4 linked regions of the Astyanax mexicanus genome follow. The protein of the gene in region 1 interacts with the protein of each later gene in a pairwise test. Links are inferred from orthologs where the notes say so. Each region holds a gene or a part of one and is shown in the gene's direction. Other genes may lie near its edges. The genes, in order: segment polarity protein dishevelled homolog DVL-3, pitx1, wt1a and kelch-like protein 12.

Region 1 (7,107 bases):
AATTAAGGCGTGTGAATGAGATAATTAAGCTGTGGCCACAAATTACACATTATTTTTTTTTACATACAAAGTCACTTAAGGGACTGCATAATTTCGATTGTTCCTTTGAAGGAAGATGTAGCCCTACTAACATTTTACCCCACTTACCCCCAATAGCCTAACAAGAATTAAGACACCCTACCCCTAGGCATCCACACTCAAAACAGAGTAGAAGGGGGAAAATGGGATTGAGCCTTAAGTGTACATCCTTCTCTCAAATCAACTGATTCAGCTATTTAACCTAATTTACTTATTAACAAGTCTAATTTGAACTGAATGTGTAGCATTAGAGCAGGAAACCACTAAAACATGCAGATCAGAGGAGTTTGGTCCTCAGAGATCATGGTTTTGAATCACTGCTTTAAGCCATATTTGAATGTCATGATGTCAGTATTGTAGAAAAGCAAAAATCACCTATCGCTGTAAAGTACGTCATGTAAAAAGTATCTTCCTCGTCTTCCTGTTTGCATCTCTTTTTTTTCCCCATGCAAATGTATAATTTTTTTTAATTTATGGTTTTAAGGGCCTGTAGCATTTTTATTTTATATTTTAAATCGAATCTAATGTAGCACATACACATGTAGTGTTTAAAATGTAATCAAAAAGGTTGATGCATTGAATCTTTTGACATTTAAATGGTTAAAAAACACCTGATTTCAAATAATTGTCTTTAAGCTGTTACAAAAAACAAAAAAAAAACTATACATGAACACAAATAATGGGGCACCTGCTCATTCACAGTGTTTCGTCTGAAATCAAGGGTATTAAAAAGAGGTTATTCTAATTTTGTTGGAGTAACTGTTGGCGTTACCTTCATCAAAGGTAAGTATGTTTTATGATGTTTTACTACACCAAAAGTCTATTTTACACCATTCACAGTTCTCCGTTAATGTCCTTCTTTTTGAGCCATTCTTTTTTTGTTGTTGTTTTTTTTTGCCTTGGCTGTATGTTTTGGGTCATTGTCATGCTGGAAGACCCAGCCACAACCTAGTTTTAATTTCCTGGCTGAGTAAAGAAGGTTTGTTGCTCAGGATTTTACAGTACATGGCTCCATCAATTCTTCCATTGATTCAGTAAAGTACTTTTGTGCCTTTAGAAAAGAAACAAAAAACAACAAAAAAATATACATCAACACAAGAATACACCATAACACATCACCAAAACATAATGTTCCCACCTCCATGCTTGATAGTAGGGGCAGTGTTCTTTGGGTCATTCAAACACACAAGTTGAATTAATGCCAAAGAACACAATTTTTGGCTCATCTCACCACAGCATTTTCTCCCAATCACTTTTAGAATCATCCAGGTGTTCATTAGCAAACTTTCAACAGGCCTGCACTTGTGCCTTCTTGAGCAGGGGGATCATGCGGGCTCTGCAATATTTTAATACATTTGGGCGTAATGTGTTTCCAATGGTTTACTTGCTGACCACGGTCCCAGCTACCTTGAGATCATTAACAAGTTCCCTGCATGTAGTTTTAGGCTGATCTCTCACCTTCCTCATGATCAAGGATACCCAATGAGATTAGATTTTGCATAGAGCATCAGATTGATGTCGATTGACTGTCATTTTGTATTTATTTCATTTTCTTACTATTGCACCAACAGTTGTCTCCTTCTCACCCAGCACTTACTTAGGTATATAGGTTTAGTAGCCCATTCCAGCCTTGTGTAGGTCTGCGATCTTGTCCCTGAGAGCCATAGGAAGGTGTTTGGTGTTCCCCATGTTGTGGAAGTAAGAGTCTGATTGATTAATTGAGTCTGTGGACAGGAGTCTTTTATACAGTGGGTAAATTAAGACAGCTCTCTTTAATACTTGTAACAATTGATTAGGAGTTTCTAACTGGTCTGTAGGAGCCAGAACTTGATTGGTTGATAGGGGTAGATTTTATTTTTTATATTCTGTCTTTCACTCTTAAAATTTACCTACCCTTAAAATTATAGACAGTTCATGTCTTTTTCAAATGGGCAAACTCACAAAATCACTAATTACTTCAATGTAATTATGATGTTTTTGTTGTACACAGACTCCAGGGAAAAGTGTTATATATGGGCCCTTCAAAAGAAATAAGAATGAACTAAGCAGTCCTTCTAATTATGCCTATAATAATATAATTGCTCTTGCTATTCACTTCCACTGAATATGGATGACATTAGCCTGTTTCAGCCTGAAAAACATTACTTTTAGGCCTGTAGTAATAACATTGGTATTAACTGTTTACATACAAATAAATTTACTTCAGTATTTACCTGCCGCACCATGATCAGTGCATTAATAATAGCAACCCTCTGTTAATGTTGCTAATATTACTATTATATACTATTATCTATTATTAACTAAATGATTTTGTCTTTTGTAAGGGTGTTATTATATTATGTTAGTATTTATAACTATTGTTATGTTATATTTGCATTACTGCAATGGCATTAAATAGTGTCGTTTATTATTAAATTACAACAATAACATTAATTGCAATTACTTTTGGGATAACGCAGTATATCATCCAAGCCGTTTATCATTGTGACAGGCCTAATTTATTACCTTTTAAATGTCATGGAATGTGTGTGTGTGTGTGTAAGGAGGGTGGTGGTGGGGGTGCATACTAGAATATATAGTCGTGATCATCTGTAGCCCTAATGATCTCAGATAACTGGTTTCTTCCTTCCTTTTCTGAGAATAAAAGGGATCAAATGAATGTGTTCATTGTCTCATTGTTCTCTGAACTGAGAGCTGCAGGAAGATTGAAATACGTTTAAGCCACTAGATGGAGCCTCTTAATCAGTATTTTATTCAGGGACAGAAAAATCATTCAAAAGACCCAGTTTACAGACCCAGTTTACAGACCCAGTTCAGCTGCAGGTCCAGTGTTTCCAGTCCCGATTCAACACCTTTGTCTGTTTAATCAGTTCTTTATTATATCAGCTAGATCACAAGATACTGAATGTTTACTACTGCTACTAAAACAAGAGATATGGGTATGCAGCATGACTTATTATTGTACTGTAACAAACTGAATCTGGAATCTGGCCTCAGCCATCATAACAACTGCAAAATTAAAATACATGATAAATAAATGATGGATGGATTGATGGACAGATGGGATAGTCCGACACATAGAATAACTAGTAAACATATACTGTATATTGATAGATGGAAGGATTGTCGGATGGATAGAATAACTAGTAAACAGATACTGTGAATGTATGGATAGATGAAACAACTAGTAAACATTCTGTATCTTGATGGGTGGATGGATGGATAGACGGACAGATAGAACAACTAGTAAACAGATACTATTAATGGATGGATAGAACAACTGGTAAACAGATACTGAAGATGGATGGATGGATGGATGGATGGATGGATGGATGTATAAAATAACTAGTGAACAGACACTGTGGATGGAACAGCTAGTAAACATACTGTATCTGGATGAATGGACAGGTGAACAACTAGTAAACAGATACTATGGATGGATGGATGGATTGACAAAGATGGAGAGAACAACTAGTAAATAGATACTATGAATGGATGGACAGATAAAACAACTAGTAAACAGATACTGTGGATGGATGGACAAACGGACAGATGGAGAGATTAACTAGTAAAAATATACTGGGCATGGATGGATGGAACAACTAGTAAACAGATACTATGGATGGATGGACGGACCAATAGAATAACTAGTACAAATATACTGTGCGTGGATGGATGGATGGACAGACAGATGGATAGAACAACTAGTACCGATGCGATGGATGGATGGATGAACAGAAGGACGAACAAATAGAACAACTAGTAAACAGATACTATAGATAAATACATACGTGTATAATTAAATACTTAAGTACTTTGTTGATCTGAATTAAATATAAATAATTAGAGGAGTGAAAGTGTAAAGTGCTATAGATGATTGTATGTAGTCAGTATCAGTCTTTCTTCATTGTTAATGATTCTAATAGATGAGTTGAGGTGATTCATTGACAGTAGCTGCAGTACCGAGCTCGGCCTGTGGGCGCCGTAGTTTGACGGGGCTCCGCTCTCCAGCTGTTCGGAAGGGAAGGAGGAGAAAGCAGGGCCGCTCAGTCCGCCGTGGGGCTGCGGGGCAGCGGGGCTGCGAACTCCACACCGAGCCCGGGTTGGACATAAGGACCGAGGAGTACCGGAGAAAAGCGGCGCTTTAACCGCGTTTGGGGATCTATATTACCTGCTGTCGGTATTCCCGCCCGCGGAGGGTTACGGTTCACCGCTCTGCTTTACGGGTTAGGGTCCGGGAGCCTGAGCGGAGCGGAGCGGCGCGGAGACTGCAGCCGGAGAAGAGGCGCTGCTGGACGGACTCGGGGCTGGATGCGCCCGGCCTGCTCCTCCCCAGCGGCCCGCCATGGGGGAGACCAAGATCATCTACCACCTCGACGACCAGGAGACACCTTACCTGGTCAAACTCCCCATCCCGGCCGAGAGGGTCACCCTGGCCGACTTCAAACATGTCCTTAATAAGCCGAATTACAAATTCTTCTTCAAATCAATGGACGATGATTTCGGGTAAGGATCTAGTATATTCCATATTTCCATGTCTTCGAATTGTCCGGTCCACCTTAAAAATAGGGCAGCTTTTGTATTATGGCACTAGCAGCGGTAGGAACGCAACTGCTGAATCTGGCTCCTATATTTAAGGTGGAACGGAGAATTTTAAAAGAAGCTGTTGAATAAGATTGAACGTTATAACGAAAACCTCATTTGCTTTTTTTGGAACCTTATAAAGCATTTTAAGACTACACATTCTACAAATCCTTATTTCTACTTTATAATTGTTCTTAAAATCCATTTAAGAAGCTGTTGAATAAGATAGGGTGTTATTAACAAAACCTAATGTGCTGTGTGTCATACATTACTTTCTGAACCTTATAAAGCCTTATAAGACTATACTTTCTATAAATCCTAATTTCATTTTAATAACTGTTCTTAAATTCTATTGAAGAAGCTGTTGAAAAAGACGCTGAACTGATATTTTTTGGCTTTTATTTTCTAGACTTTGTAAAGTATTTTAAGACAATACATTGTAATTTAAAGTTTGAAAAGTTACTAAATTCCTGTGTTAATGGATACAATTAGATTATATCTTAACATATAGGTTGCAGCTTTAACAAATCACCCCACCTTTCCTCTAGCATAGTTCCATGGCTTCTAATTGCCCGGTCCACCTTAAAAACAGGGCAGCTTTTGTATTATGGCACTAGCAGCGGTAAAGCGCAACTACTGGAGTTCGCTCCTGTATTTAAGGTGGAATGGACAATTCGAAAATAAAACTGTTGATTGAGCTTTTTTTGCTATGTGTCATAACTACATTATTTTCTGGACTTTGTAATCTGTTTTAAGACCATACATCGTAATTTATACTATAAAAATCTTAAATTCCAGTGTTAAATAGGTACAATCAGATTATATTTAATTTATAGCTTGCTATCCCTTCACCCATCACCCCTTCTTTCCTTCAGCATATTCCATATTTCCATTCCTGTCGAATTGTTTGATCCACCTTAAACAGGGCAGCTTTTGTATTATGGCACTCGCTGCTGCTTAAGTTTGGATCCTTTATTTAAGGTGGAACGGACAATTCGAAAAGAAGCTGTTGAATAAGATGCTGAAGTGAGCTTTTCTTAGGAAAACCTCATTTGCTGTGTCACACATGACTTTTTCAACCTTTTGGACGACTTTTAAAACTATAAATCCTATAAAAATACATGAAATTAATACATATATAACATTTACTTTATAACATTTCCTACATTTCAGTGTTTAATGTATAAAATCAGATTATAGCTAAATTATAGCTTGCTATCCCTTTACAAATCATCACATATTTCCTCTGAGCATAGTATATTCTCATATATACAAACACCCTTTCTTTATATTTACACATGCCCTAACAGTTAAATATGGCATTTCAATCATTTCATCATTTCATATTAGCTGGAAATAATAATAATAATAATAATAATAAATCATACTGTACTTGAACACTCATTTTTATAGCATCAATTTTAGAAATAGAGAAATATAGGCAGGATGGCTTGAGCAGAGGTTTTATAGCTATAATTTGATTTAACTGTTTTTTTCCTTTGGTTTTATTGTTATGGCAAGGAAGAGCAGGAGATGACCCCTGGGACAAGACAAGGGGAGTTGCTTCCATTGTGAGCAGATGGTCAGACAGGTGTAGGAAGGTACATTTTGAGAGGAAGGAGAAGCAGGAAAGCAATAGTCTGTTCTTTTGTATTTTTTTACATTGTAAATTTAATATTAAAGACATTACAGAATACTAAACTGCATTCTGTAAGGAATTGTGTTCCCGTACAGCTTTACACCAAAAAGAAATAGAAATTCATTATAGACAGGAGGCAGAAAATCCAACAGTCCCCCAGCCTGAGCTCTACACTCTTAAACCTCATCAGCTTCTCTGAGTTATTAAAAGCTTATTACACAAACTACAGGGGAATTCACCAGTTCTGCTGCATTTCTGTGTTATTTAATAGTATTTAAAGATGTGAACTGACTCATTCAGAGTGGATTTGGTATGAAAGCTTGAGTTCTACAGAAGCGTATTATTTAATCTAAAGAGTTTTTACAAAAGTTATTACACTGAATAGTTTTTAATACATTCTGACACTGCTTTAAAGAACGATTATAGTATGTTTACAACCACAAGATGAGTCTTTCCACATGTGGTTTAATACATGAGAAGCTACTCCCTGCATCAGCTAGATTTAAATAACTTGTTGCCAGCGGAAACAATAATAAACCCATGCAGTAATTATTAACCAATGGGAGATTCTTGGACTGGGTATCTTTTCAAAACTTTTGATACTGATACAGATACCCAAAATATACTTTTTTACTTTTTTTAATACCTTTATGTAAATTGTAACAAAAAAATTATTCCCACACAACGTATTTATTTAACAGCTGACTCAAGTAATCTCATTATCATACTTGAATCTTGTTTGAGCTTGGGAGATAGAGAGGAAGAGACAGCGCAAGAGTCAGTGTGCGAAAGGAAGAGACAGTGCA
Region 2 (6,948 bases), on another chromosome or scaffold:
CCAAGCTGTTGTGTCTGTTAGCATCACAGTCCAACTCTGTTAGCATTGCAACTAACCTGCTCCAAACTTTCATGCTTTCATATATCAAGATAATGTTAGATAACTTGATGCACAAAAGGTTGGAGGCCTTTATTAGTGCAGTAATGTTTCAATGTTCATGTTTCATCGTACACTCTGCCATCTTGCATACACAGTGCTGTATGTGGGCGGTCACTGTCTGGTCTCTTGGGGAGGGGCTAGGTTTCCAGAGAACATAGAGACACACACAGTGGGAGAGGCTTCATTCCGTTCTTAGGACAGCTTCACTCCACTACATTTTAAATAAAAATGTTGCTATATTAATATTTAAAAAGTCAGATTTTGTACTTTTAACATAGCAGAAGCCGTGTAGATGACTTCTCACCATTATCTGTTCTTACAAAAAAACACATTCTGTTTGACATACGTCGTCCCACACACACATATTCATTCTGACTCCAGTAAAGTGTGTGTGGTGTTTGACTGTCGGGTGTTGACCATAAACGGCGGGCTGGGGAGGATCCGCCCCGATGTTAATGATGACCCTGTTACCTCTACACTTATCTCCTGAGGCATTAGTCAACATTAGTCTAACTCTAAGTGGTTAATTATAGCTGGCCAAAATAAGTCAGTCATGGTTGTGTTACAGTCTATAACACAAATTCCACAGTTATTGATTCACCTTTTAAACCCAGTGTATAATTATGCAAATATATAAATAAAAAAAATAAAATGATACAACACAGGCTTGATACAACTTATGAAGTCATGCTCCAGTCCATAGTGAAACACAAGGCACCCTAAGGAGATGCTTGGCCAGATAGATCTTATATATTTGAAACGTTTATCACTTTTTCTTTCTCCCAAAAAAAAAACAAATCACTAGACATCCATCATCCTACAGTTTTGCCACTATCAGGGCCATAATAAATAATGGATTTATTTGCTGGATGAGGAACTCGCAGTTGAAACCAAGTTGCTGTCCGCAAAAGTACTGAGCAGTGACTAAAGGGTTCAACTACAACCCCAATCTTGATCACAGCTTTAATCCCAAAATTGCCAACTTTAACACAAACTTCAACTCAATTTCCAACTTCAACCCTGATTCTAGTTGTAACCCCAACTCCAGCCACAAACATAGTCCTATACCCAATCCCATCTTTGGTCCCAGCACTAATGCCAAATCCAACCCAGTCCTAATCCCATTCCCAAATCCCAACTCCAGCTCCAATCCTAATCATAAATTTATCCAGCTCTAATTCCTACCCTATGCCTTTCCTCATACTAATTTAGGCCTAGCTGCAATCTGCTAACTACAATCCCAATCTCATCCTTAATGCTAACTTTAATCCCAGTATTAGTCCACACCTTAATTCCATTTGCCATACCCACCCTTACCCCAGCTCTAATTTTTTATTTTTCCATTCTATTACATGCAGGTTTTAATCTTCCCCAATTCAAATCCAACCCCAAACCTAATTCCACTCCTAATCCCAATTTTTCACAGCTCAAAAACCATACCCCATCTCACCTGTAAATATGTTCCCATCTCTAACATCTAACCCCAATCACAAACCCTCTAACACAGTACCAACTCCAGTCCTGAACTGAACTCCAATACCAGTCCAAACCCGAACTCCCAGCCCAGCTCCAAACAAACCCTACTGTATCTGACTTACAGAACCCTGTGTGTGTATCTGTGGTTCTGCGCTGTTCGTGTAGCAGAAGAAGTGGGTCACAGCGCGTTTAGAATATACACATGAGGGTGTTTAAATTTAAGTTTGACTGCAGATTGATCGGAACCCTTCAGCCGCTCATGTCCGTAGCCGCGCTGTGGTTTATAATAATGCTGGAAAATTAACCGATCAGACGATCACGGCAACTGTCACTAAAAACTGCCATAACAGGGTAGACTTCAAACTAAAACAGGTAACATTAATAAAATACTTTTCATATTTATAAATTAAAATAGTGATAAAATATAAATCTATATGTAACACTTTATAAAGTAACTAAAGGTTTAAACAATATTTAACTACACAGTGTAAATATTTAACAGTAAACAGTTATTATACGGCACAAAAAACATTTGTAGATCCTATTTATTTTCAAGAGTATAATTTAACAGTAAACCCTGCATTTAAAGTTCAATCATATAAAGCAATAATAATAATAATAATAATAATAATAATAATAATAATAATAATAATAATAATAATAATAATAATAATAATAATACACTAGTATCCCCATCATAAATAAGAAACAAGAAACTCTAAATACATCACATTAGTACATAAAACAAATTGAATTCATACAATAATATCAACTATTTCAAACAGAAAATAATAATGATTAAAATAATAGGAAAGTGCCCTGCGGGATAATGTAAAGTTATCTGTATAGTTAGGGAGGTGTAATAGGAATGTCTGTAGATTTAAGGAAGGGTAGGAGGGGGTTGCTGTTTATTGGCTTCTTCTTAATCCCGCTATTAAGCGCGAGCTTCTTAAAGGGGCTGATTGGATTTAAGATCAGTATCAAACACTGTGCTCATAACATACAGCCCTATCCGACCATGACCACCCCCCCACCACTAACCAATAATAATAATAACAATAATAATAATAATAATAATAATAATAATAATAATAATAATAATAATAATAATAATAATAATAATAATAGCTGTTCCGTTGGGAATAAATGTGCTCAGTATGTTTATTATTTAAGATGAATCTGTCTTTATTATGGTGTGTGTTATAAGATTGATATTGGTTTAAAATTCAGCTTCGTGTTTTAGAACAGCGCGCGCGGCTGCGAATTTAGCTCTACAACAGTATTAAATATAAATAAATGAAATATAAAAATGCTTGATTAATATGTATTAATAAGAACTGAACCGTAACTAAACAATTTTAAATGAAATTGTATTAACATGTATTTAAACGGACTAGGAAAGAATTTCTACTTTACAGTCCCTCTGTTCTGAGGCACTCCAGTTTTATCAGTTTGAATACAGCCTACTCAAAACGGAGCGAAATGTCTACATCACCCCCCCTCAGCACCACCAGCTATAGGCTTAGTTCATCTAGAATCCCACATAAACGCCAACCCTAACATTAACATCAACACTAGCGCCATCAATTAACATTAACTTGCAAAACCAAAATCTGCACTAGCTCCACCTATAAAATCAAACCAACACCAACAGACCACCAAAGCAAACCCTAACATCAACAATAGCTTTATCAAAATTAACACCAGCATCTAAAAAACACATTTAACATTAAAACTAACATCAAATCCAACACTAACACCATCTATAAAATACCAGAGCAATATCATTTATAGTAACATAAATAGCCAATACAATACGCTACCATTAACCATAATATTATCAACGTATTATTCAAATGTTAACCATAAGCACAAATTTTAGCACCAAACCAGCATCAGCTTCAACACCAAAGCCAAAACTAACACCATGTATATAGCTTCAATACTAAAACCAACAGAATAAACAATTTTATAAAAAGCCAATGCACTCAACTTTCAACACTTAAACCACCAACATGCTACCACCACATCCAAAACCAATAGTGATGCCATCATCACTTAAACGTCAGTCTCAACCCAGATATTAATCAGATCTTCTTAAGTCTACTCTTGGGCTATACAGCATTTTAATTTAGATTTCTATAAAATAAAAATATAACCTACGACTTGAGCTTAATTCCTGTCTGGGAAACAGACCCTTAAAGTTTCCCTCAGCCACAAACCTAAACTCTAGTACCTAAACCCTAAGACATACACCCTAAACACCAACCCCTAGACCCTAACTATCTCTCCGCACTGGTTGCTCGGGACAGCTTTCCTTTCCGCTCAGACGCAGGAGTGACGTCACGTGCACGCTGGAGTAGCCGCTTAGAGAAAAGCCCAGAGAGGCGCGCGCAGCAACCAAAGCGAACAGAACGCGTGCGCTGCGGGAGATTTACACATCTATACACACATAACACACCGGCTTTTCACAGCATCACACACACGCACCTTATACATACACTTCTGCACTTTCCGGAGCTCTTAGCGCGTGCGGAAGCGCGAGCTGCATGGGGACAGTCTAACCGGCGGAAGGATCGCGCGGTGAGTGACTTCTGCTTTTTTCCGCGTTTCACGAGCCTTAACCAGAGCAGGGCACGAACTCCAGTCTGTACAGCGCGATGTGTTCGGTGTCTGTGTGTGTGATTATGTTTTGGCACCCTCGCTGTGGAATAGCTTGTCTTTTTTCAGAACCGATTTTACCTGCTGTTGCTGTTCCCTGCGCTGTCCTAAAATTGCGCGAGCTCGATAATAATTCATGCTAAAATTAATTGCAAAACCGACTGATTTGCATCAAATGAAAACAACAGAATTACATAAGGAGATATTTGTACACATTCTGGCAAGGGCGTGCATGGGTGTTCATGAGTGTTTGTGTGTTTTATAGCGAGCCACATACTGGAGCTTTATTAGCCTCATAAAAGAACGCGGCTCTGCAGATACAGATAAACGTGAAGATTCCTTGAGCAGGTTTTTTGTTTTCGATGCTTTTAATTTTCTTGCAAATATGCACACAAAATATTACACCCCAAATGGTGTTCTTCTATGGTATCGCTGAAAAATCTTTTGTAACATCTTTTTCAAACAGCAATAACAAAGGAAACCAATTCAAACAGCAATAACAAAATCAAGCACAAGAAAAAAACATGCAAAAAAGTTTATTGTATAATTCAAACTATATTTAAATAAAAAAAACTTCAATATTTCAATATTTCATTAAATACATATAAACATATATAGTATCGTTGACAGAACAATTTTATCAGCTTTATTTGAATTATGTTAGGAATTTAATTTAAATAGCAATTTAAATACCACTAACAAAATCGCGCGTGAGAAAGAAGTGTGCAAAAATAGATCCGCGAGGCTTCGGTGGTGCAGCATTGATGGTAGTTCAAAGTGAGTGTAGAGAGGTGTGTGTTCAGGAGTGTGTGTGACAGTACTGGTAAAAGCCTTTATTCATTTATCTCGTTTTGTCAGAGAGCTTGCTTTGAGAATGAGCAGCAGGCCACAAGTAGTGAAGCTGCATGTGCGCGCGTTTCTAGACTAAAATGAGTTGAATATAAAAGTTCAAATAATAAGCAAAGAATAAAAACAGCAGATTAAAAGGGCTTAGGTACTGGGGATTCTTTTTTAACGCCATCGTAGCTTTCTGGCGAAGAGTATGACATACAGAAGTGTTTACATTTTTTAAAAAGTGGATGCAAATATATATATTTTTTATCTCTTTTTCATTGGACACGTCTTTTTTTAAATTAAATGTTCTTTATTTATGAAAGAACCCTGTGTAGCACCTTTTTGTTTGTAAGAGTGTGTGCCACAGTAAACCAATACCACCAAAGTAAACATAACCTAAACACAGAGAAGCATTTTTAAAAGCTAAAAACTTACCTAAAAACAGCACACATCACTGCTACAAAGGTGAAAACACTGTGGAAAGTGTAAATCGATATAAAGTGGTGCTGAAGCGAGCGTAGCTAAAGTTGGTACTGAATCAAAAATCTAAAAAACTCGGACAGTTCTCAAACTCTCGGAGATTTTTTATTAAAAATGAAACGCTAAACTAATTATACTCTTGAAAATAAAGGATCTACAAATGGTTATTTGTGCCTTAGAATTACTTATAATAACTCTACAATCCTGTAGAGGAACTTCCGTATGCTTAGTTCTTATTTCATCTTTCTAATACTAACTATACATTAATTCTATATGTAACATAGTCATTTGTTTAATTGAACAGTGGTTATCCAAGTGTTCGATTCAAATGACAAAATAATAATAATAATAATAATAATAATAATAATAATAATAATAATAATAATAATAATAATAATAATAATAAAGGCCTGAAGGTGTGTTTAAATCTTAGATTTTCAAACGTAAAATCGTGAAAAAGTATATAGTAAGAAATATCCCATAAGAAAAGTTTCAAATATACTAAATAATAATAATAATAATAATAATAATAATAATAATAATAATAATAATAATAATAATAACAATAATAATAAAATTGTCAGGAAGGATTAAATTGTGTTTGACTCTATTAAATACAGTGATACATCACTGGTTTTATTTAAAGAGCCCTTCAGCTGATCTATACACACTCAAACAGCACTCAGACACGGCAGGGTGAAGGTGAGGCTCATGATGAAGGTTCTGGGGGGGAGCTGGAGTTGGGGTTTTGGATTAGGTTATGGTTGAGAGCACGGTCTATCATACTGCCGTTATCAAATATTAGAATGTACACAATAAAATACAACTATTCCACACGGTTGAAAGGACTGCTTCTGGTCCTACCGGTCAGCAGTCCAGACTAAATGGTGGTGTTTTGCGGTAAAAGAGCTGTAGTTCAGACACACTCTCTCTCTCTATCTCTCTTTCTCTCTCTCTCTCTCTCTCTCTCTCTCTCTCTCTTTCTCTCTCTCTCTCTCTCTCTCTCTCTCTCTCTCTCTCTCTCACACACAGACACACACACACTCTAGTTATGTAGTGTCTCTCTTTCAGTGCAGTGTTGCCGCTCCGGTTTATAATTCAGTGCGGTTATAAAACACCAGCCCAAACACGGCGTTAAGCTAAAGCCTGTTGACTAAGGCCTAAAAGTCTGTGGTAGTACGGGAACTAAACCTATATATAAATCAAGTTTAACGTTTAAGTTAAATTATTAAAAACGAATTGATTTTATCAAATCTATCATGCACTTAATTGAGCGGTTTTCCAGACAGGCATTTAGTCTATTCTAGGACGAAACAGCATTTTGAATAGAGATTTCCTTTAAAAGGAAAATGCAGTCTACGACTATGCCTAATCCTTGGAAAGTGCCCCTAAATGTAA
Region 3 (7,809 bases), on another chromosome or scaffold:
TGAAAGCTAACCACTTCCACTCAATATTGCTTTGGAACTCTGCCTTGTTGTATTGCAAGGCCTGCTCCAGGACTTTATTCCAGCCTCTTCAGTTTGATGGGAAGATAAAGAGCATTGACACAGTGACTTCTGCCGACATGACAGGCTTTTTTTCTTGCTGCTCTTCCACGGGTTGAAGAGTTGAGTCCCAGGTCAGCAGCTTTCAGCAGAACTCTAGACTAGAATTCCAGATGGTGAAGTAAGAGCACATCTCAACTCATCAATTTAACAAGCTCTGCTGCCTCTGCTTATCCATGTCCTACTCCTAGGCCAACACTTCCGGCTGCAGCCGAGGCCTGAGCGCCGGACAAATTGAGATGTATCTCGGTTAACTGGTTACAGGATGGTCACAGTGTGCAAAATGATGGCAGGCTAAAGTCATGTCAAGTCAGAGTATGCTTTATGACTTTATTTTTCCAGCATCATTTTTTTTTTTGCAAGAACGGAAGAATGAATAGAAAGTGCAAGTTTAAGTTGAAGCAGCAATACATTTATTTTCTTGATCATCCAACAACAATGATTGTTGAAAGCATGAAGAGTGCAATGTCCCTCAAAAGAGAAACTAATATGGTGTGTAGCTCCACAAACCCCTGTATGTTTCAGTGACAAAACAGAAAATTTTCCTTCTTTAAATTGTCTTTCCATCTCCAGTATCTTATTCCAACAGTTACTTTTCTGGTTGCTTATATTGGCACATATTTAATGTTTTTAAAACGATATTCTGCTATATCATAAGAAGGTGGGATAACACCCAGGAATTAAGTGATTGACAACCTTGGCTGGAACAGACCAGACGTCTGCAGGACCTGCGTCACGCCCTTTCCGTTCATTACATGGAGAAGCTGACTTGTAATAAAACTTTCCTGAACTGCGCTTTCACTATTAAAATATAACACTTCATGGAGAAACTGGAAATTTAGAGGAAATACACATTTTTCTTCTGCGCCGTAGGTTCAGTGAAGGTAGTCCGAGACATGCATGATCTGGCAACATTGCAGACAATTTTGGCTTAAATTATATAGACCAGGGGTGCGTTTCCCAAAACGTTCTTAACGCTAAGTACTTCGTAACTTCGTACTTACGAACAATCTTAAAATTACGAGCGTTTCCCGAAAGCCTTCGTAACTAACGTAGTACTTAAACTCGTTCGTAACTTTACGAGTGGTCTGACCCACTCGTAAATAACTAAGTTCTTCTTAACGTGGAATCCACGTGCAGTTCTGACTCAAAAACGAAAGAGGCCGCTTTTGATCCTTAAAAAAATGCATTTAAAGATGCATTCAGCATACGTATTTATAAAAAAATAAACAATAAAAAAAAGACTAAATTCCAGACTATTTAAATTAATTTATTAACCTGCGCATATTTATTCATAGTATTTGGGTTTATTATATGGTTGAAATAATCGTATTCACGTGAAGAAAAAGTTACAATTACCTACAAATATAATTTTTATTCACACATATCACACACATATGGATTAAATTAACGGTTTTCCCCAGTCTGACAGTCGTAGTAGTAAACAAATAAGTAAATATATTTTATTTGGCTTTTTATATCATACAAAATTATACCTTTGTGGCTTAATAATGAAGAACTGTATATAAATCGGTGGTCTAGTTTTCATCTGGCTTTGCCTTAAACCTCACAGACACGGGGGCGGAGCCACCAAAGTGCTACTTAAAGGTCCTTCGTAAGTATGGAGACTTAAGAGTGGCTTCTGGAAACAGTCGGAAAAATGGCGTTCTTAAAGTTAAGTCGTTCTTAAAGTTGTTCTTAAATCCCTAAGAACAATCGCTATCGGGAAACGCACCCCAGATAAGAATGGACCCAAGGCATCTCTGTGTTCTACAGTCATTTGATCAAAACACTTGTTATGAAAAGGAGTGGCTTCTCATGTTTTCTCCAAATTTCTGGCAAGAGCTACCCTCTGTGATATGAAGTAACACTGTCTTGTCCGGCCTTCACTGACAATGTTTGTGTATAAGGCTAACTGTTGCTATGAGAGCGAAATGGCTGGCAAGACTAGAAGCAGTGAAGATAACCTTTAAAGTCATCATACATCAAACGAGAAGAAACACTCAAGGACACCAATTTCTGGCTCCTGTGATTAAGCTCAAAAACTCAGGGCCTGTGTCCAGGACCTTCTCTGTTGAGCTGTATGTGTTTTCAGATCATGCCGTGTAAGAAAGATCAGATGTGTACCACTTTTTTGTGGTAAAAATATCATAAATAAATGATAATGATGAATAAATAAACAGATAAATGACTTTCTGGAATAAAAAAAGCCTATTTTACCTCTCAGATGGGATGCATATAAGGTACACGTTTAATTTTTTTAGAGCAATGCTTTCAGCAATTTTACAATGGCATGTGCATATATAAACTTACATGCACATAAATGGGCCATTACAGAATTGCATGCATAAGATGATTTGACTCATCAGTCAAATCTGTTAATGTTAAATAAATTAAATTACTTAAACTGTTAAAAAATAACATGGTTGACCGTAACAGTAACAGACATTTTACATTGTTTTTTGTTGTAACTTCCATGTGCTAACACTGAATTTATATTACACTCTATTTTTTTTTTCGCTTTTTCAAAGCCTCATTGCTTTACATCAATTGAGAGATTCTCTCAATATTGCAATAACATTATGCTGTAATATTATACTTAATATAATAATATTCTAATAATATTATATATATATACTTTTATTATAATAATAACATACTTTTGGTGTATCCTCAAAATTGTATACAAAATAATAAGAGAAAAAAATGGTCAGACTCACTGCCTGCCACATTTTTCTCGCCAGAAAAAGAGACATCACTAGGTGTAGGTCACAAGTTTTTATAAGCACTGTTTTCAGGAAGAAAAAAATGACATTTTAATTGTTAAAACAGTGTAGTAAAAATAGATATTCTATGCAATTGATTACATAACTTTATAACTTTACAACTGCGAAAGTCAAAAATGATTTCAAACATTTATATATAAATGTATATAATTAGTCGTACAGATCCGAAACAATTATATATAAATACAAAAAAAGTGTTAGTGTTTATATTATTAAACCTTGATTCATTAATTTATTGATTGATTGTTTTATTGATTGGTTTGTCTCTATGTGCTTGTAGCCAGGCTATGACTGTGTTTGTATCTCCAGGCTTCAGCTGTACCCTTAAAGTGAGGACAGGTCCAGGAGGTCCAGTCATTTACTCCCTTTCAGACAGTAAGCCAGAGGTGAAGGAGGAGTGGAGCCCAGGCGGAGGGAGTGGAGGGAGGACAGTGATCCTCTCTTCACACTCTGTGGAGAGCTGAAATTGAATTTTCTTCCTCTTTTTCTTCTTGCTTATAGAAATGATGCCACTGTCCTATCTGAACAGAATTACCATTTAAATATGTCTTCAGTAATCACACTGCTGTAAAATGTAAAACAGACTAATTTGCAGGAGCACACACACAGGGCCTGTTTGTGAGGTAAGCATACACTCTTGACCAGTCCGAGCCACTGTCCTGCAGTTTTGAATGTTTTATTACAGAAAGCTGTTTTCTCTGGTCCCCTGTAGAAGATAAATGTGCTCAGCTCTGCAGTTATGCTTTCCATCTCGATTTGAATATTACCTGATTATCCGCAGCAGAGGTCATCCAGCAGTGACCACCTGCGCGCGGCTGTGATCTCTGTCATTTTCTGTGGAGAGGAGAAACTCCTCACTTTTATCTAAACACGGTTATTTCCACCGGGTCCAGCCCACATCCATCTTCCACAATCCGACAGTTATTTTTTCCCTCTCTGTTTTAAATAGAGAGAAAAAAATAAACTCCATCAGAAATGGTGTGTGTGTGTGTGTTTGTGTATATGCGTGCGCGCGCGCGCGGGGTGACTTCACCCTTTTTAATTTACTGGAGGTGCGCGCTTCGGCTGCGTGTCGTCTCTGTCGCACAAAAACGTGTCTATTTGACATCTATTTATGTCGTGTTTCATTTTTCGATATGATGTAAATGTTTTCTTTACATTGTGTAATAATGTCACGATAAATGTAGACAAACAGAAATACTCTAGTACATACATAATCGAATCTTTACTTTTCCTACAAATGTGTCTTTTTACGTGTTACGTGTAAAAAAATAAAATCATAAGAATTAAAATAAAAACGAATCAAGTATAGTATATATATTTTTTTACATTGACATACTGTCTGTCATTCTCTTCGGCTGGGAAATGCGCTTACATTTTAGGGAACTTTGGGCACGTTTATAAGTCCATATTTAATTTAAATCCATATTTAACTTATGTAATTGATGGTTGTAATAAAAAAACGGATTTTAAAACATTAATATTAGTAATAGTACAAAGGTCAGTTGTTATTATTATTATTATTATTATTATTATTATTATTATTATTATTTCCGTCGCCTCTAGCTGTTGGTATTATATTTTAGTAAGCTCCGAAACGAATAATTTAATTATTACCTGGTTGATGTCGACATTTTAAATTATTTTTAGAGATCATTATTATTTCCTTTGAACGAATAGAAACTAATACCCCACTTAAACCATTAAATTACTGCCACGGCAGATTAATTTAGATTTTAATTGGGAAGAGAGATTAGACTAAAATAGGATATATTTATATTTTAAAGGTTAACAAAAGAACAAAAATATAATAATAATAAAAACTGATCGGGTTATTTAAAAGCCGAATTAAATATTCCTATGTTTCATATTCCTATAGCGCCTTTTTTTTAACGGCAAATGCATTACGTTGTATTAAAACGATCATTCCGATGTTCCGACTTAATTATTTATGTAGCCCTCGTGATCTAAGTCGCGCGCGATTAGAGAAAAAGGCATTCTTGTTAATCTTTATTTTTTTATTAATGCTATATACCTCAGAAAATATTTAGCAGCGAGAGACGTTTTAAAGATATTTATCCTGTTGTTATTAGTAGAGAAACTGTCTTCCAGTCATGGGGACACAGCTGTAAAAATATAGAAAATAATATGAATAACTTCATCCACTCAAACCCAGTCATCTGAATGCACACACTGGGGGCCCTGTGAGATGCGCGGGATAAAGGTAGGTTATATAGTATTTACTGAAGTAAATGAATGAAGCCTCCTCAGTCTGTATTTAGCCCCTCCTCCTGGCTCCTCTGTCTGTGCTTCTATTTGAGCCTTCTGGCCTCCAAAGAAAACAGACACACGGTGAAGGAGCTATTCCTCTCCTCCTCCTCCTCCTCCTACTCCTCCACCTCCTCCTCCTCTCTCCTTCTCTCTCGCTCTCTGTCTCTCTTACTTCATTCAGAGATCTCTCCCTGGCTGGGACATCCCACGAAGGAGCCTGGGTACTGTCAGCTTCTTTCTTCTTTCTTTCTAAGTATCTCGTCCTTTTTTTTTTTTTTTTTTTGCTTCGGACTCTTAATGCATGAAGTTCCTGGTGTTTCTGCTGCTGCCTAACATCTTAAAAACTCAAGTATGCGGCTTTTCTGGACTTGACTTTTGACTCTGTCCTGGATTTGCAAGAAATTTGAAATCAGCTTCCAGGAGATTGCAAGACTTCTCTTTCCACCTTGGACCCGGTCGCCCAGGTGAGCAAGACGTCGGGCATGGGTTCGGACGTCCGTGACCTCAACACCCTCCTGTCCCCTGTCCCGGCTCTGCCCGCAGGGAATGGGAACTGCCCGCTGCCCGTCAGCAGTGCCCCTCAATGGGCTCCTGTGCTGGACTTTCACACTGGCCCACCTTACAGCCACTCCTTTATCAAGCAGGAGCCCAGCTGGGGCTCAGCAGACCCCCACGAGGACCCTCACTGTGGCCTCAGCGCCTTCACCGTCCACTTCTCTGGCCAGTTTACAGGCACAGGGGCCTGCAGGTACGGGGCCTTCGGGACACCTGCAGCCAACCAGCCTCCGGCCAGTCAGCCCAGAATGTTCAGCAATGGCCCGTACCTGTCCAACTGTATGGATGGTCAGGCCAGCTCCAGGAACCAGGGTAAGACCATCTCTTGATACTCAATACCTGTTTTTAGTCAAAGCCTTTTCTAGAGATGAGAACAGGGATGTTACTGAATTAACTAGGGTTCTTCAGGCCTTCTTGTACAGCTATTCAGCAAAGTTGTGAAGAAGGTATAATATAATGTGTTATTCCTTTTTAAACACATGCTATGCAATACAATGCACATTAATCATTAGACTTGACAAAAAAAACTGTCCTATTCTTCTATTATCATGCGAATATTCTTTGTATGTTTGATAATCCTCAACAAGCACAAAACAGACAAATTCAACTTTCTGTATGAATTTTAAATGTTTAAACCAAAAGAAATACAAAACTACAAGATATTATAGTGATATTTATTTAAATACTACTCTGTAATAAATCATAATTAACAAAGTTTGTATTAATTTGTATTATTGTTATCAAGTGTATTGAGCAAAAAGCATTAACAGAAGTTTGAACAATACAAGTTGAGTGAAGGAAGTGAAGGAAACATTTGGAGGAAATGTGGTAGCAAGTTTTTAGTTGTTGTTTTTGCACAAGATATATATTATTTATAGTATATATTCTAGTTGGATTCATTATTAAATGAACATTGTTCAATTTTATTATCACAATAGTGTTAAATCAATTTGGAAAAAGGTCAGTATTTAATAAATGTGCCTAAATGTAATATTTAAGCATATATTATGTGCTAAACATACATTGGTTACCGGAATCCGTTTCGATTGCTGTGTTTGACACAATGTCATATACAATCATATACGATATGTTTGTGCACTTTTTCTTCATCTTTAGATATTTGTCAGTAAAATCACTTTATAAAGAATAAAACATTTTTTAATACAATTTTAAATTTGATTTACAACTATTTGGAGTTGCTTAAATTCCTTTGCTGGAAGTTAGAACCAGGCATCCTATATTTTACTCAATATTCCAACTCCTCTTGCATCAGATCTCCATCACGTCTTGCAGAAATGTGAGGCATGCGAGTGATTAATGTTTAACTTTATTTAAGACCATCAAGCGTGTTGCTTTTGGTCACGGGGAGTGTTGATAAAAGTTTGGGAGTGCAGTGAGAAAAACTGCAGGTTTTTCCACCTACAGTGATGGATCATACTTAGGAAAAAAGCTCTGCTGCTTTGAGCAAATAGTATTAGAAAAATGATTAAATCCCACATGCGTGATCCTTAAGCAGCACACACTCAATTTGTACAGTTCAGGCACTTGAAGTCAACACCTGCCATTTAAAATAAAATGTAAGCACATCTGAAGAAGAAGAAAAAGCATTTAGACTAACAAATTTAACAGCCTTTCAGTGCATTTAAATTGAATGCTTTTGAAATTGCTTTGAATTTCTTTTAATTGATAAGAACATATGACTTAAAGACATTTAATTTAATTCACCACCAAAATATATTTTATAGATTATTTTTTGTATCTTTAGTGCTATGGTTTGGCACAGTATGTAAAGTAATGGGTCCAAATAAAGTCCAACTTAAAACACTGCACTGTAAAAAAACAAGACGGCAAAATATATTTATTACAATATACACACTCTATAAATGAATAATCAATAAATAAGTAAGAACATGCTTTTTTTTTTGCTCAAAAACATTTAAAATATGTATCTTTAATAATAAGCCAGATAAACGTATCAGGTAATGATCCAAAGCCTTATTAGTTGAGCAGTCTATACTCATAATGAGGTACATGTTTAACTTAATGGCGTAAATAAATGTTGGAGATTTTTTCATATCGC
Region 4 (6,979 bases), on another chromosome or scaffold:
ATAGCCCATCTCTATTTACCCCCAGTATTTCAAAATACAGCGCTTTTAGCCGATGCTCCCAACAGGCTAATCCTGCGTTCACACTGGAAAGCGACAAAGCAACAGGTGCCTGTTCATTCCTATGATAGGGTGCGATTTCTTGCTGCGACACGTGAGAAGCAGCAGAGTGTCGAGCAAAACACAAGCGACAATTTCCTCAACTTTGAAGCGACATTCTAACCCGACTGGTTTTTAGCATTTCTTTGGAACTTTTGGTTCCTTTCGCATTTCTGCAGAATAAAGTGGCCAAGCGATTCCTCATATTTATACCATATTTTCCCTCCAAAATGTATATTTTTAAGTGCGACTAAAAATGACTGGATGGTTAGTGTTAGGTCTGTCACAATAATTACATTATCGATTTATCGTACATTAAATAGACATTACCTTAATAATATTTGATAATTGTGATATCGTCTATTGTGCTAATTTGTATGCTTGTTTACATATATAAAACTGTGAACAGAATTTTAGTCAATACTGCTTCAAAAACTGACCAATGTTTTAATAACTGTGACTTCACCCACACAGTGTGAACTGCAGTAAGAGAAGAAATAAGTATTATTCCCAAACTATGATTAATTTAAATTTTGTTGTCTTTAAAAGGGTATGATTGCTTTTTTCATTCCATTCTGTTATATTTATATCAGTGGCATTTAATGGTCTTAAAATGACAAATATCGTGTATCACAATAATTTCTGGGACGATATATTGTGCACAAAAAAATGTTATCGTGACAGGCCTGGTAAATGTTAAATATAAAAAAAACATTTAGCATGTTTTATTAAAATCAATTTATTTGTAACCATTTCAGTGATCTAACATTAGTTACCAAATACATATTTAATTCAAACACGCATTTAATAAATAATATTTTTTGTAGGGCCAATACAAAGCAGTTGTAAGCAATGCAATTTTTCTTTTTCTTTTTTTTTTTTTTTGGAAGCTGGACCATGATACATGCATGCACTGAGATTTAACACCCAAGGACAAACGCCTGCAAGGACAAACACGGGATGCGTTCTAGTGTAAATGCAAAGTTACAGTGCTAGTGATAGGGGCATAGCGTTACTCATGCAAATGCAAGAAATGGCTTTTTTGTTTTTATAGCATTAACAAACTCAAAGTAGCTTCACACTTCATTGGTAGAAATCTGAGGGCCCTGATATTTAAAACGAGGCACTGAGAGCTTTAAGAGTGCACAGATATTTGTTTAAAACACTGTTTATACACACAGTACCTTCATTTAGTTTATTAAAACAATTTTTGTACACTTTTTCTCGATCCAACGAATAAGTAGGATAGGGGAACAGATTGAAAAAATATATATTTTTGCGGAAATGCATGCATGAATTCCAGCAATTGCTAAAAATATATCTATATCATATTAATGGATTTCCACGGAAATTAGTTTTCCAATCCTGTTCCCCTATCCTTCCTATTCAATGGTTAACTCTATGCCCTTATCACTGGTACTGTAAGCATGTTGGGAGCATCAGCTAAAGCGCTGTATTTCTGAATGCAGGGGAAAAATGGAGATGGGCTATTCAACAAAAGTTCATACTCATTTTTATGTTTCACTACAACCCAAGTCCATTTCACACCAGATTTCTCCTTTTAAATGTTTGTGCACGGTTCAGAACGTCCATCGTAACAGACTCAGATTCATCTCAGAGTCATCCTGCACTGAGAGCTGAACAGCACTACCTCTCTCCTCCTCTACGCCGCCGGGTGATCACTCTCCGTGTCCTGGAGTGATACCTACAGGTTCTGGACTCTACGGACGTTTATGTCCCACTTCTTAGATGTTAAAGGGAATAGGAATAAGATGTGAATGTCTTTATCTGCTGTAAATGTTTTCTTGTGACCAATACACTTTGTGAACTGAAATTTCTTATATACATTTTTGGATGTTTGATGTTTTCCTGTACAATAATTTGGTCAAGATGTATCTCTTAAGCAAAAAAAAACAATTTGACCAAATAATTACAAATTGTGTTTTTTTCAAATGAAGAAATTACTATAAAGAAATGCTTAAAAACTGCCTTGGTAGCTAATAAGAAAAAAAAAAGAAAAAAAAAAAATCATTCCATGTATGTTTTCTGTGGCCAAGATGGCAATACTCCTGAATACACCTTATTTCCAGACCAACACGCCAAATACAGATACAGTTTCTCTGATTTTGCTATTTATAGGTTTATGTTTGAGTCAAATGAACATTGTTGTTTTATTCTATAAACTACAGACAACATTTCTCCCAAATTCCACATAAAAATCTTTTATAATTTAGAGCATTTATTTACAGAAAATGAGAAATGGCTGAAATAACAAAAAGATGCAGAGCTTTCAGACCTCAAATAACAAAGCAAAGAAAACAAGTTCAGATTCATAAAGTTTTAAGAGTTCAGAAATCAATATTTGGTGGAATAACCCTGGTTTTTCATGCATCTTGGCATCATGTTCTCCTCCACCAGTCTTACACACTGCTTTTGGATAACTTTATGCTGCTTTACTCCTGGTGCAAAAATTCAAGCAGTTCAGTTTGGTGGTTTGATGGCTTGTGATCATCCATCTTCCTCTTGATTATATTCCAGAGGTTTTCAATTTGGTAAAATCAAAGAAACTCATCATTTTTAAGTGGTATCTTTTTTTCCCAGAGCTGTATATTCAGAAGCTGGTGGTTGAACCAGAGTTGCAGACATGTTAAATCAGTTATGGGGACTATTGTTGTTCTGTTTTTAAAACATTTTCTAAATTTTATTATTATAATAATTACTGTGATATTGTGCAGCGATAGGCTGGACTAAAAGTTAAGCTTTACCTCTTTACGCTCAATACAGAGACCATATGATTATGAAATATTAAGAGAAAATATTATTATTAATAGTTGAACATGCAGCAACAAGCGTCTTCATAGTGAAGGTTAATATTCCTCTGTATGTGTAATAATGTGATAATAGGATTATCTAGTTTATCCACCAGAGGGCGCAAACGTAGACCAAGGTCTCATTGGCCAATCACTTTACATTATGTTATCAATTTATTCAGTGTAACGGTGTCAGTTAAGAAAACAATTTTTTTTTCATTTGCTAAAGTAAAAAATATTTTTGTTAGTTTCTATCAAACATCTGATGGGTTAATCTAATAGTCGAAATATATTTTTTATCTTCCCTGAAATTCAGATTTCATGAAAAACTACAATTTAGAAAAACAAAAGAAAATCCATTCAAGAGAAAGTCTTCCCTTCCCTCCCTGCTGAAACTGAGCTAAAGGCGAAAGCTGTTGCCATGTGGGTCAGCCAGACCATTTTCAACGAGTCTTGTGAAGGTGTAGGAAACAGTACTCACTGTTTCATCTGTATTTTCTCTTAAGAAAAGACTTCTAATTTTAATAGTTAAACAGTTAAAGTGTTTCTGTGTCTTTTGCTAGTTAGTTTCTAGCTTCGGAAATTGACATTTATTTTAAATCCATTTCCCAAAGCTCATTTTATTTTCTTGGATACTTACCAGCTGTAAGCTGCTAACCAATTCATTGTTACCATGTTACCACGATAAAAAAACACCCCTTTTTTAAACCATAATTTTATCAGAATTTTTTACAATATACAATTCTTTATTATTATTATTATTTTTTTTTTTTTTTTAACTGTTCCAGTTTTAAACGCTACTCCACCTACAGGATACGACGTAAAACAAGGAATTTTGCAGGATCCTAGGAACTATACTGAGTTATTATTATTATTATTATTATTATTATTATTATTATTATTATTATTATTATTATTATTATTATTATCATTATTATTATTATTATTATTATTATTATTATTATTATTATTATTATTATTATTATTATTATTATTATTATTATTATGGTGGGCGTTACCAGAGCCGCCGTCAGCACGTCAGGCGTGTACGTGATGGCGTATCAGTGTTTTGGTTGCCATCGTGTTGCTGAGGGACGTGAGAGCCCTGCATTAAAAACATACAGCCGGAGTAACTTCAGCTTTTAATTAACTAAATAACTTAAAAAACTCAAACCTCAGCGCGTTCAGCGAGAACTGGGGAATAATATATATATATGCTGCAGTATTCAGAGCTAGGGCGCCGGTTCCTGCCTTGTTTTAGTGGTTTTCTGAGCACCGGGCGGAGGTTGAGAGCGTGGCTGGAGTATGAAGCTCTGTGGGCGGCCGCTGCAGCGCTGACTAACCGCTTACAGCACACGGAGCCCCGGCTCGCCTGGTCTCACTCCTCCGCTGCTGCTGTTGCTGCCGGTACGTTTAACCAGGGTTTGGATTTTATTATATGTGCCTTTACATAACTTTTGGGAGCAAAAATACTTATTTTACTTTTAGATATTCAGAAAGGTGTTCAGTTTGTGTGGATATTAAGGTAAATTATCTACTGTTAGCTTTGGTGCTAACTGGATCCAGGTAAAAACTGTCTTGGCTCATTTAACGTTACATTGCCAGAAACAGTATTAGCATGTTAGCTTGCTAACCTAGCACTAATATAATAATAGATACTAATTTATACATAATACATAGTTTGGTTAGATATTTTAAGACATCTAGCTGTATTTAACGTTAGCTAACCTGAGCTAGCTAGCTTAGCTTAGTAAACACTATTTGCACCAGGTAGAGATAGGTTAGCTAGCGTTAGCTAACTAGCTAAGCTAAGCTAGGTAAAATAATACTCCTGTAACAGAAAGTCTTTTCTTTATTCCCCCACTTTAGTACCCAAGTAGAAGTAATAAAGTAGCTTTATCTTTTTAATCAAGATTGTGGATATAATATTCTTTTTCATATATTTGGGGGGAAAATACTTATTTTACTTTCATATATTCAGAAAGGTGTTCAGTTTGTGTAGATATTTAGGTGGAGTATCTACTGTTAACTGTAACTGGATCCAGGTAATACCTAGCTTAGTTTAGCTTAGCTTAGCTTAAATGACCAGAAACGGTGTTTAGCCAGTTAGCCTGTTAGCTTGCTAACCTAGCACAAATGCTACCTATCTCGCTAGTTAATGTTAGCTACTAAAGAGTGCCCATGTTCACCAGGAATTTCCGCAGGTTTAACTTTATAAAGGCAGTTTATAGTAATAAATAGTGACGTGGGTTGTTTTAAGATATCTAGCTGTATTAACTAACTTGGGCTAGCTAGCTTAGCTTAGTTAGCACTATTTGCACCAGGTAGAGATATGTAAGCTAACTAGCTAAGCTAAATTAGGTAAAATATTACTCATGTTACAGTAAAAGTCCTTTCTTTATTCCTTCACTTCAGTAAGTAAAAGTAAAAAAATAACTATTTACCTTCAAATGTAACTGGTAAAAGTACTATGATTTATTATATCTACTTCTAATGTAATGTAATTTTTTATCTAGGCTCTTGAAATAATGTGCTTTTTCACAACTTGTGTGAACAAACATGTTTGTTATTTTCATATATATTTAGAAAGGTTAGTTAGGTAGCTAGCTAATTTACACATTGCTATCTGCTCATGTTTTTAAGCAATATTTCAGCAAATTTAGCCACTGCTTTTCTGTTTTTATGATTTTTTTACATTGTAAATTTAATATTGAAGACTGTATTAAAGCTATACAGAAACACATGCTGAATTATTTAGTGTTAAATAGACCAGAATATGTTTTATATTTTAGATTCCTCTAAGTAGCACATTTATCTTTAAGGACATATCTGCACACTCTTGGTATTTTCTCAGTGTTTTCATGAGATTTGTGTCATTACTACAGTTTACTGTGAAGTTAACTAAATGTTTTTCATTGCAATGTTTTCCATTGTTTTCTGATGCATTCTTTTCTTTGTATTTATACAGTTGGCTTTTTACTTCTACTTCTTACATTTTTACACAATTATCTGAACTGTCTACTCCTTACATTTGATTTAAAAAAATGGAAAAAAATAAATCATTTTAGCTGGTTTTCATTCCGGCTTCTCATCGTTCAATAAAAACCCTATCCAGATAAATCTCTCCATCCAGATAGAGTGAATCTGATTGTGATTGGATGTAGAGAAGTATAAACATAAATCATTTCGACACCCTATTGGTTTATACTGTGATCTATCACAACTGCACACCATACGCCCCGCACACTCCAGCAAGAACATAGCAGACGTATGTAACCTAGTATGAAGATGATCCGTGCAGAGACTCGAGAGTACTCCAGATAAACTCCAGTCCAACTAAACTTCCTTTAATATATTTACATTCTACTAAAATACATACATTTACAATGGGGCATATATGCAGCTGAAACAGGGAACAGCGTAGAACATCACAAATTATATTATCAACATTTACATTTTAATATTTAAACATTTATAGTCATTATGGCTTTTAGAAAAATGTGTTTTGCTTTTGATATATTTGTACATACACACAGTCGTATCAGAATATTATGTCCAATGTTATTTATCATCACTGTCTATCTTATCAGCCTTACTGATAGGAGCACATATAGGAGCAGTTAGTACTGGTAGTATAGTGTACACAAAGTTAGAACTGTATTCAGAGAGCATTTAAAATCTACCTGTAGCCTTTTTAACTTTTAATTGCATATGTCTTTTTATGTTTGTTATAGAGGCACGTCTCAGTATGTGTTATTATTCTTACCATTAATCATGTGTGTGAGTGTATTTATTATCCTCAGAGCTCTTAGTCTGTGTTGTTTTGTGATCACAGACCCGAGTCGAGCTCCATCATCCTGCACTGCCTGTGGACGTGCCGCTCTCCCCCTTCGCCAGTTGCCATGGCGCCCAAAGACATCATGACCAACTCCCATGCCAAGTCCATCTTAAATGCCATGAACGCCTTGAGGAAGAGCAACACGCTGTGTGACATCACGCTGAGGGTGGAGAACACAGATTTCCCCGCCCACCGCATCGTCCTGGCCGCCTGCAGCGACTACTTCTGTGCCATG

Evidence for each region.
Region 2: the proteins of segment polarity protein dishevelled homolog DVL-3 (region 1) and pitx1 interact in binary tests that used the Homo sapiens proteins (3 or more experiments, as listed by UniProt). The two-hybrid records come from large-scale screens. The link is inferred for Astyanax mexicanus from reciprocal best matches to the Homo sapiens genes DVL3 and PITX1.
Region 3: the proteins of segment polarity protein dishevelled homolog DVL-3 (region 1) and wt1a interact in binary tests that used the Homo sapiens proteins (3 or more experiments, as listed by UniProt). The link is inferred for Astyanax mexicanus from reciprocal best matches to the Homo sapiens genes DVL3 and WT1.
Region 4: the proteins of segment polarity protein dishevelled homolog DVL-3 (region 1) and kelch-like protein 12 interact in binary tests that used the Homo sapiens proteins (3 or more experiments, as listed by UniProt). The two-hybrid records come from large-scale screens. The link is inferred for Astyanax mexicanus from reciprocal best matches to the Homo sapiens genes DVL3 and KLHL12.

What each region holds. Positions count from the first base shown.
Region 1 is NC_064416.1:4,791,658-4,798,764, forward strand, and holds the start of segment polarity protein dishevelled homolog DVL-3, read left to right. Parts: upstream 1-4,089; 5' UTR 4,090-4,423; coding exon 4,424-4,584; intron 4,585-7,107. UniProt on the Homo sapiens protein: Involved in the signal transduction pathway mediated by multiple Wnt genes.
Region 2 is NC_064424.1:34,451,502-34,458,449, forward strand, and holds the start of pitx1 (pituitary homeobox 1), read left to right. Parts: upstream 1-3,948; 5' UTR 3,949-4,158; intron 4,159-6,948. UniProt on the Homo sapiens protein: Sequence-specific transcription factor that binds gene promoters and activates their transcription. May play a role in the development of anterior structures, and in particular, the brain and facies and in specifying the identity or structure of hindlimb.
Region 3 is NC_064417.1:5,718,447-5,726,255, forward strand, and holds the start of wt1a (WT1 transcription factor a), read left to right. Parts: upstream 1-4,792; 5' UTR 4,793-5,656; coding exon 5,657-6,041; intron 6,042-7,809. UniProt on the Homo sapiens protein: Transcription factor that plays an important role in cellular development and cell survival. Recognizes and binds to the DNA sequence 5'-GCG(T/G)GGGCG-3'. Regulates the expression of numerous target genes, including EPO.
Region 4 is NC_064419.1:47,237,740-47,244,718, reverse strand, and holds the start of kelch-like protein 12, read left to right. Parts: upstream 1-3,978; 5' UTR 3,979-4,313; intron 4,314-6,741; 5' UTR 6,742-6,808; coding exon 6,809-6,979. UniProt on the Homo sapiens protein: Substrate-specific adapter of a BCR (BTB-CUL3-RBX1) E3 ubiquitin ligase complex that acts as a negative regulator of Wnt signaling pathway and ER-Golgi transport.